Macaca mulatta: one gene and its partner. The protein of the gene in region 2 interacts with the protein of the main gene of each other region in a pairwise test. Links are inferred from orthologs where the notes say so. Each region holds a gene or a part of one and is shown on either strand. Other genes may lie near its edges.

Region 1 (4,168 bases), on a different chromosome or scaffold from region 2:
TCAGGGAACCCACCAGGCAGGAGTCAGAAAACACACTCCTGAGAAGTGGGCTTTGACTGGTACCTTCCTCATACCCAAGTATGCTTTTAAGGCCGGGATCCCCACAGAAAGAACACCGACTAAGACCAGAGAAGCCCCAGCCTCTTGAAAGCACCAGCTAGGCAGATCCTTGCAGCACTCTCTCAGGAAGGACATAGGGTGAATGTGTGAAGAGGCACACGCGGGCATACAAGGAACACATCAGGCCCAGAGGCCTGCCCTCACTGCCCAGCCAAAGCCAGGGAGCCAACTGCAGCTCCCAGGTTCTGCACGGCAACTCAAGACGCCTCCAGGGGTAGCTGCAATGTTCTCATCTGGAGAGTCATGGAATCGAAAAGAATGTTTGTTCCCTCTACCAGAGCTACCCCACCCATGCCCTACTGAGACCTCAGTCTCAGTGTGAGGTCTCCTGTGACGCCCCCCTGCTTTACCTCCCGGGTTCACGCCATTCTCCTGCCTCAGCCTCCCCAGCACCTGGGACTATAGGTGCCTGCCACCACGCCCGGTTAATTTTTTGTATTTTTAGTAGAGACGGGGTTTCAACGGGTTAGCCAGGATGGTCTCGATCCCCTGACCTCGTGATCCACCCGCCTCGGCCTCCCAAAGTGCTGGGATTACAGGCGTGAGCCACCGCGCCCGGCCCTGGCTTCTGTTCTTACCAAGGCCACCCCACTACCAGTCATCCCGCTGCCCAGAGAGCAGCCAAAAGCAGTGAGCAACTAGCTCTGCATGGGGAGACCAGAGAAGCATCACTGAATCTGTCCAGGTTGAGCATGGGTCAGGGCCTTGGCCACCAGGTAGGCACCAGGGAGGAGGCAGACATTCCATACAGATGACACAAGCGCAGAGCCAAGAGGTGCGGTGTATCTGGGCTGGGAGCCTGGCTAGGACAGAGGAGAGGGCCACACACCCCGTGCTCCCACACCCAGGTCATCAGAGAAGACGGCCCTGGCACTTCTGCCTTCATGGGACCTTTCCTCCACTAAGAAATATTAAGAGTCATGCTTTTTCACTGTATTGGCATAAAGAAAACTGTATTAATATACATAAGAAAACATTTCCTTTGACCAGAAGTTGTTTTTTCCTGCTGACTTAAAAAATGAAATAAAATAACATTCACAGGCCACTAAAAGTACCGTGGGCCAGTGATATCAGAATTCCTGTGCCTGATGGATACATCGGTCCTGGGGCAGTTCAAGGGAAGGAGAGGTACACTGAAATAGGTAGAAAAGGGTCTCCTAGGAGGTTGCCCGGGTTCTGATTCCCCACCACAGACTTAAGAACACACTAGCTCCTAGGGGAGTTCCAAAGCCTGGACTCATTCATCACATACACGCAGCACGCCTAAGGGCCCCGCACAGTGGCGAGGTCTCCGCTCGCGGGACGCTGGCGCCGGCCACACAACGCTAGGCTGACTCCTGGTGCCTCCTCTGGACCGGGTGTGAGCTGAGGACTTCTTCAGTGCAACGTCTCACTGAATGACAGTCTGCCACAGCCACCAATGTCCAGGCGAGGAGTTTCCAGGACTGAGAGGCTGGCACTAGGCCACTGCTGGGAGGACTTCTGCGAAACCAGGTGCCCCCGAGAGCCGCTGTCCCCAGCCCGACTCCGACGCTGGGCTGGCGGGAGGGCGCGCCCGTGGCGTAGCTCCTGGCCGCCGCCGCTCCCAGGAAGGGCCCAGAGGCAACATCCCGGACAGCACAGCTGCACGAAGTCCGAGGCGCCGCGAGCCCAGGTAAGCTCCAGCAGGCGTCCGCAGAGAGTGCCAGGCGGCCCGCGAGCCAGGCCCCGCCCGCCCCTGCCCCAGGCGCGGCCCCTGCAGAAGGGCGCCGCGGGTGAAAGGAGGTCCTGGGGCGACCCCGGCCCCGCTCGCCGCCCCGCCCCCACACCGCCCCCATCGCGCGGCGCACCTGGCCGCAGCGGCTCGGTGACAGTGAGCACGAGCAGGAAGAGCAGTAGGAAGACGCCGCTGTCTGCCTTGGGCACCATTTATCCTCCGTTCATCGTCCCCGGGGCGGCTGCGTGACCCCGCTGGGAGGCCGGACCGAGCCGGACTGAGGGTCAGGGGACCGTGCCAAGCGGAGGGTCAGGCGGGGCTGGACCTGGGCGAGGCGCGGAGAGGCGGCGGGAAAGAGCTTCGGCTGGGCCGCGGGCTGGCGCGCACTCTCGGCGGCAGCCTCAGGCTCCGACTCCAGCTCCGCGCAAGATGGCTGCCGTCCTGCTCGGCTCCGCGCCGCGCCGCCCCGCCTCCCGCCCTCGACGCCGGCGCGGGCCAATGAACGCCAAGGCAGGGGGCGGGGCCAGAGCCACAGAACTTCCCCCCGAAGGGGGTGAAGCCTAAGGTCACGACGGCGGTGGGCGGGGACCTAAGGGCGGTGACTGAGGGGCGGGCTCTAAGGGAAGGGCGGGACCATACGGAGTTTAGGCGTGCCATTGGTTAAGCAGAGAGGCAGAGCCGGGGCTGGGGCCTGAGCGACGCGGCCTCGGAAGGGAGTAGGGTCTCTGGACGCGGGGTAGGGGCGGCGGGCGGGGGACCACAAGGACAGACATCGAAAGGCGCGGGGCATGGGGCTGGGCGCCGTGGGGTCGCGCGGGTGGGGAGCGGAGAGGACGAAGCGGGAACCTGGCTGAGACTCCAAGGGTCTTAACACCTGCAAGCTCAGGTCCCGTGAGCAGCCCAAAAGTGCGCCCCAAAGGGGTCTTTTTAAGGCCGAACCGCTGTGGAGGAGGGAGGGCCTGCCGGTTCTAAGGGTGGGGAAAGAGGGTCACCCTGTAAGGAACAGGAATGGCCTAAGGGAGTGTCAGGCAAAGAGATACTGGGAAGGCCAGATCCTGGAGACTGCAGCGAAGCCGGCTCCCTGGAGGACCTCCCTGCACAATGGCGAAGGGAAGGCCACATGTGCAGGAAGGAAAGCTAGGCAAAGAGGAGGCTCAGCGCCCCTGCGAACAGTGCTCCAAGTGCCACCTCTCACCTGTCATCACCAACAGGGTGAACCTTGGAGGGCAGTGTTGGCAAAAAGAGTCCAGCTCTGTAAAATATTTGAAGACATTTCTTCTGAGCCAATATGTGACCAATAGCCTGGGACACAGCCCCAGGAGATCCTGCAAGTGTCCACGGGGGTAGGGCTACAGCTTGGTTTTATACATTTTAGGGAGACAAGACATCAGTCATGTAAGGTATACAGTGGTTCAGTCGGAAAAGGCGGGACAACTTGAAAGTGGGGGTGGAGGGGGCTTCCAGGTCATGCGGATTGGCAGCTGGTTCAAAGAGTTTATCTAAAGACGTGGAATCAATAAAAGGGACTGTCTGGATTAAGGGATTGTGGAGACCAAGCTTCTTAGACAGATGAAGCTTCCAGGTATCAGGCTTCACAGAGAAGAAACTGTTAATGTTTCTTATTAAAAAGTGCTAGACTCGGCCGGGCGCAGTGGCTTACACTTGTAATCCCAGCACTTTGGGAGGCCGAGGTGGGCGGATCACGAGGTCAGGAGATCGAGACCATCCTGGCTAACACCGTGAAACCCCGTCTCTATTAAAAATGCAAAAAATTAGCCGGGCGTGGTGGCGGGCGCCTGTAGTCCCAGCTACTCGGGAGGCTGAGGCAGGAGAATGGCGTAAACCCAGGAAACAGAGGTTGCAGTGAGCTGAGATTGTGCCACTGCACTCCAGCCTGGGCGACAGAGCAAGGCTCCATCTCAAAAAAAAAAAAAAAAAAAAAGTGCCAGACTCCTGGGCACAGTGACTCACGCCTGTAACCCCAGCACTTTGAGATGCCAAGGTGGGCAGATCACTTGAAGTCAGGAGTTCAAGATCAGCCTGGCCAACACGGTGAAACCACGTCTCTACCAAAACTACAAAAGTTATCCAGGCATGGTGGCGCACGCCTGTAATCCCAGCTACTCAGGAGGCTGATAGCAGGAGAATCACTTGAACCAGGGAGGCAGAGGTTGCGGTGAGCCAAGATCACGCCACTGCACTCCAGCCTGGGCAACAGAGCAAGACTCTGTCTCAAAAAAAAAAAAAATTAAAAAAGGAAAAATAAATAAAAGGTGCCAGACTCTAGTTAATTCTCTCAGGAGAAAAGACCTTGAAAGGGATGGGGATTCTCTACAGAATGTAGATTTTCCC
Region 2 (3,500 bases):
TGTGGACCCCAAGGACTTTTTTTTTTTTTTTAAGAGACTTGCTCTGTCACCCAGACTGGAGTGTGGTGGTGCAATCTCAGCTCACTGCAGCCCCTGTTTCCCAGGTCGAAGCAATTCTCCAGCCTCAGCCTCCCAAGTAGCTGGGATTAAAGGCATGCACCACCATGCCCGGCTAATTTTTGTATTTTTAGTAGAGTTGGGGTTTCACCATGTTGGCTAAGTTGGTCTTGAACTCCTGACCTCAAGTGATCTACCCACCTCGGTCTCCCAAAGTGCTGGGATGACCAGAGTGAGCCACGGCACCTGGCCCCCAAAGACATTTAGCTCAGTGTTTGGTTGAGTTCATCCTTCTTCCTCCACGTGTCTGCACACCCCACCTCCATCCCCTATTCCCTCCTGGATCCTATTTTTCTCCCAGCCCACCATGAAGAAAGGTCATTTATCCCCTGGGTTTGCTGCACAGGAATGCTAAGAATCAGAGGTATAGCTCTTGGCTCCAAGTCACACAGCCATTCCAGGGCAAAATCAAGGTGTAAACACAGCCTCCCAGTTCTGGAATTTTTCTTGGGCTTGGGGCTTGCACCCACACACCATATAACTCACCTGTCTCCCATTCTTCCCCAGAGTGGGGTCAACAGTGGATTGGTCCGCGCCAAAGACTCCATCACCAGCTTGAAGGAAAAGACCACCCGGGTTAACCAGCACGTGCAGACTCTGCAGGTGTGAGGACACCCTATGTCCAACACCTGCCCTTTCTCCAGGGCTAACTTCCCTGCTTGGAGCCTGCCTCCAGTGGAACACACCCATAGCTCAGTTGGGGAGCTTGAGACTCAGAAGGGAGAGGAACCTTCCCAGGCCCAGATATTCTTTTCCACAGGCTGTCCCCTTGTGTCCTTGGCTAACCTCTCCTCCTTCCATGCTCCAGAGTGAGTGTTCTGTGCTGAGCGAGAATCTGGAGAGAAGGCGGCAAGAGGCAGAAGAGTTGGAGGGGTACTGCATTCAACTCAAGGTGAGCCAGTGGGATGCAGGAGTGGGTGGGGAGAGGGGAATGGGAATAAGAGGGTGGAAGAAAGAGGGGAGGAGGCTGGGTGCAGTGGCTCACATCTGTAATCCCAGCACTTCAGGAGGCCGAGGCGGGCAGATCGCCTGAGGTCAGGAGTTTGAGACCAGCCTGGCCAACATGGTGAAACCCCATCTCTACTAAAAATACAAAAACTAGCCAGGTGTGGTGGCGCACACCTGTAATCCCAGCTACTCGGCTTAGGGAGGAGAATCACTTGAATCCAGGAGGTGGAGGTTGCAGTGAGCCAAGATTGCACCACTGTACTCCAGCCTGGGTGCTGGAGCAATACAGTCTCAAAAGAAAAAAAAAAGAAAGAGGGGAAGAATGGAGTGGGTGGATCAACAAGAGGTGGGAGGAAGTGGAGGGGTACCACTCTGGCACGTCTGGCTAAGGAGGAAGCCATCCCTTTAGCCAAGGAAATGAGCTGGTGAGTGTGTCTTTTTTTTTTTTTTTTGAGACGGAGTCTCTCTCTGTCGCCCAGGCTGGAGTGCAGTGGCCGGATCTCAGCTTACTGCAAGCTCCGCCTCCCGGGTCTAGGCCATTCTCCTGCCTCAGCCTCCAGTGTAGCTGGGACTACAGGCGCCCGCCACCTTGCCCGGCTAGTTTTTTGTATTTTTTAGTAGAGACGGGGTTTCACCATGTTAGCCAGGATGGTCTCGATCTCCTGACCTCGTGATCTGCCCGTCTTGGCCTCCCAAAGTGCTGGGATTACAGGCTTGAGCCACCGCGCCTGGCCGAGTGTGTCTTGTATTGAGGGGCTGGGAGGCCTGGAGCCTGTATGGAAATAGACAGGCTAAGGGTTGGGAGGCAGAACTGAAATGGGAAGGCAGGGCCCTCGCCCTGGTGTCTGACCCAGGAGAACTGCTGGAAGGTGACCCGGTCTGTGGAAGATGCTGAAATCAAAACCAACGTCTTGAAGCAGAATTCTGCCTTGCTGGAGGTAAGGAATGGAGGAGGTCCCAGGATTTGTGGGAGGACGTCAGATGCGCGAGGGACTCAAGATACACTTTTAGGTGGAACTCCCCGCCCCAACACCACCACCACACTGCTCCTGCGTGCACACAGTCATCCTTAGAACCCACTGATAAGAGGGATTCAAATGAGGCTCCAACACCCAGCTGGGGGACTCTTACCCTGCAGTCACATTCAGGTCCCAGAAAGAGACTCGAGCTGGACTTCAAGTGAGAAGGCCTGTCCTGTCCACATGCCCACTCATTTTCCAACAAAATGCTGAGAAAGCTTCAGTTGTTCTTGCCAAGTGGCCGGGACTGGTATTTGACGCCTGGAAGGCTTGGAGGGCCGGGTGGATACCTGGAGGCAGGCTGTGGGAGGTTAGCGGGAATTGGAGTCCAACTGGGCCTCAAATGGTGCCTCCCCTCCCTAATGACAGCCAGTGGGACTTCCAACATCCTGTCCCCACAGGCGTTCTACTTCCAATCTTGGGGAGTACTGGAGCGGATTTGGGGGTAGAGGTGGTTGTGGGAGGAAAGCGGCTGGACGCTGTGACCCCGTCCCGTCCTCCCTTACCGACCAGGAGAAGCTGCGCTACCTCCAGCAGCAGCTGCAGGATGAGACGCCGCGACGGCAGGAGACCGAGCAGCAGGAGCCGGAGCAGCAGCAGAAGCCGGAGGCTGGCCTCTCCCGGAACGGCCTGGGCCCCGCCGCCACGTCCCAGGGCTGCCCCGGCCCGCCAGGGAGTCCTGACAAACCCTCGCGGCCTCGCGGCCTGGTCCCCGCAGGCTGGGGAATGGGGCCTCGGGCAGGTGAGGGCCCCTACGTGAGCGAGCAGGAATTGCAGAAGGTGTTCACCGGCATCGAGGAGCTGAGGTGGGCGGGACCTAGGGGCGGGGCCTCGAAACGAGGTGGGCGGGGACTCAGGGGTGGAGCCTCGAGGAGCTGCGGTGGGCGGGACCCAAGGGACGGGGTTCTCAAGGAAAGGCATGGGTGGGGATCCAGGGAGCCTCGTGGAGCTGAGGTGGGCGGTGATATCCGTGGAGCCTCGAGAACCTGAGGTGGGAGGGGACATGGGAGGAGCCTCGAGGAACGAAGGTGGGCAGAGTCGTGGGCAGAGTCTCCAGGAGCTGCAGTGGGCGGGGACACAGGGTAGGAGCCTCAAAGATTCTAACCGGAGGACGACAAGCCTGGGGTCTCCAAGAGCAGAGGAGGGAGTGCCCCGAAGGCAGTGACCTGAGCAAGGGAGGGACAAAATAATGAATTTTTGAGTTCTGGGCTGCTGGGAGGCAGGTCCAGGCCTGGTGAAACTGAGGTGGGCGGGGCTTGGGAGAGGAGCGGTCCTGGAGGCACCAAGTGGGGCAGAGTAGGGTGGACAGTGCCTTGGGGGGCAGTGTGTGGAAGAGCTGAGGTAGAGGTTGGGGACCTGACCAGGGAAGGGCCAAGACAGCCAGTAAAGTAAGGGGATAAAGGCGGGGCTCTGGAA

The links.
Region 1: the proteins of TSKS (region 2) and TSSK2 interact in binary tests that used the Homo sapiens proteins (3 or more experiments, as listed by UniProt). The link is inferred for Macaca mulatta from reciprocal best matches to the Homo sapiens genes TSKS and TSSK2.

Annotation. Positions count from the first base shown.
Region 1 is NC_133415.1:33,587,768-33,591,935, reverse strand, and holds the start of TSSK2 (testis-specific serine/threonine-protein kinase 2), read left to right. Parts: upstream 1-1,368; 5' UTR 1,369-1,774; intron 1,775-1,949; coding exon of another isoform or gene 1,950-2,028; exon of another isoform or gene 2,029-2,259; intron 2,260-4,168. Other genes in the region: DGCR2 (integral membrane protein DGCR2/IDD), read right to left, coding at 1,950-2,028.
Region 2 is NC_133424.1:62,204,898-62,208,397, reverse strand, and holds part of TSKS (testis-specific serine kinase substrate), read left to right. Parts: intron 1-603; exon of another isoform or gene 604-624; coding exon 625-720; exon of another isoform or gene 721-925; coding exon 926-1,009; intron 1,010-1,919; coding exon 1,920-2,003; intron 2,004-2,196; exon of another isoform or gene 2,197-2,385; intron 2,386-2,597; coding exon 2,598-2,890; intron 2,891-3,500. UniProt on the Homo sapiens protein: May play a role in testicular physiology, most probably in the process of spermatogenesis or spermatid development.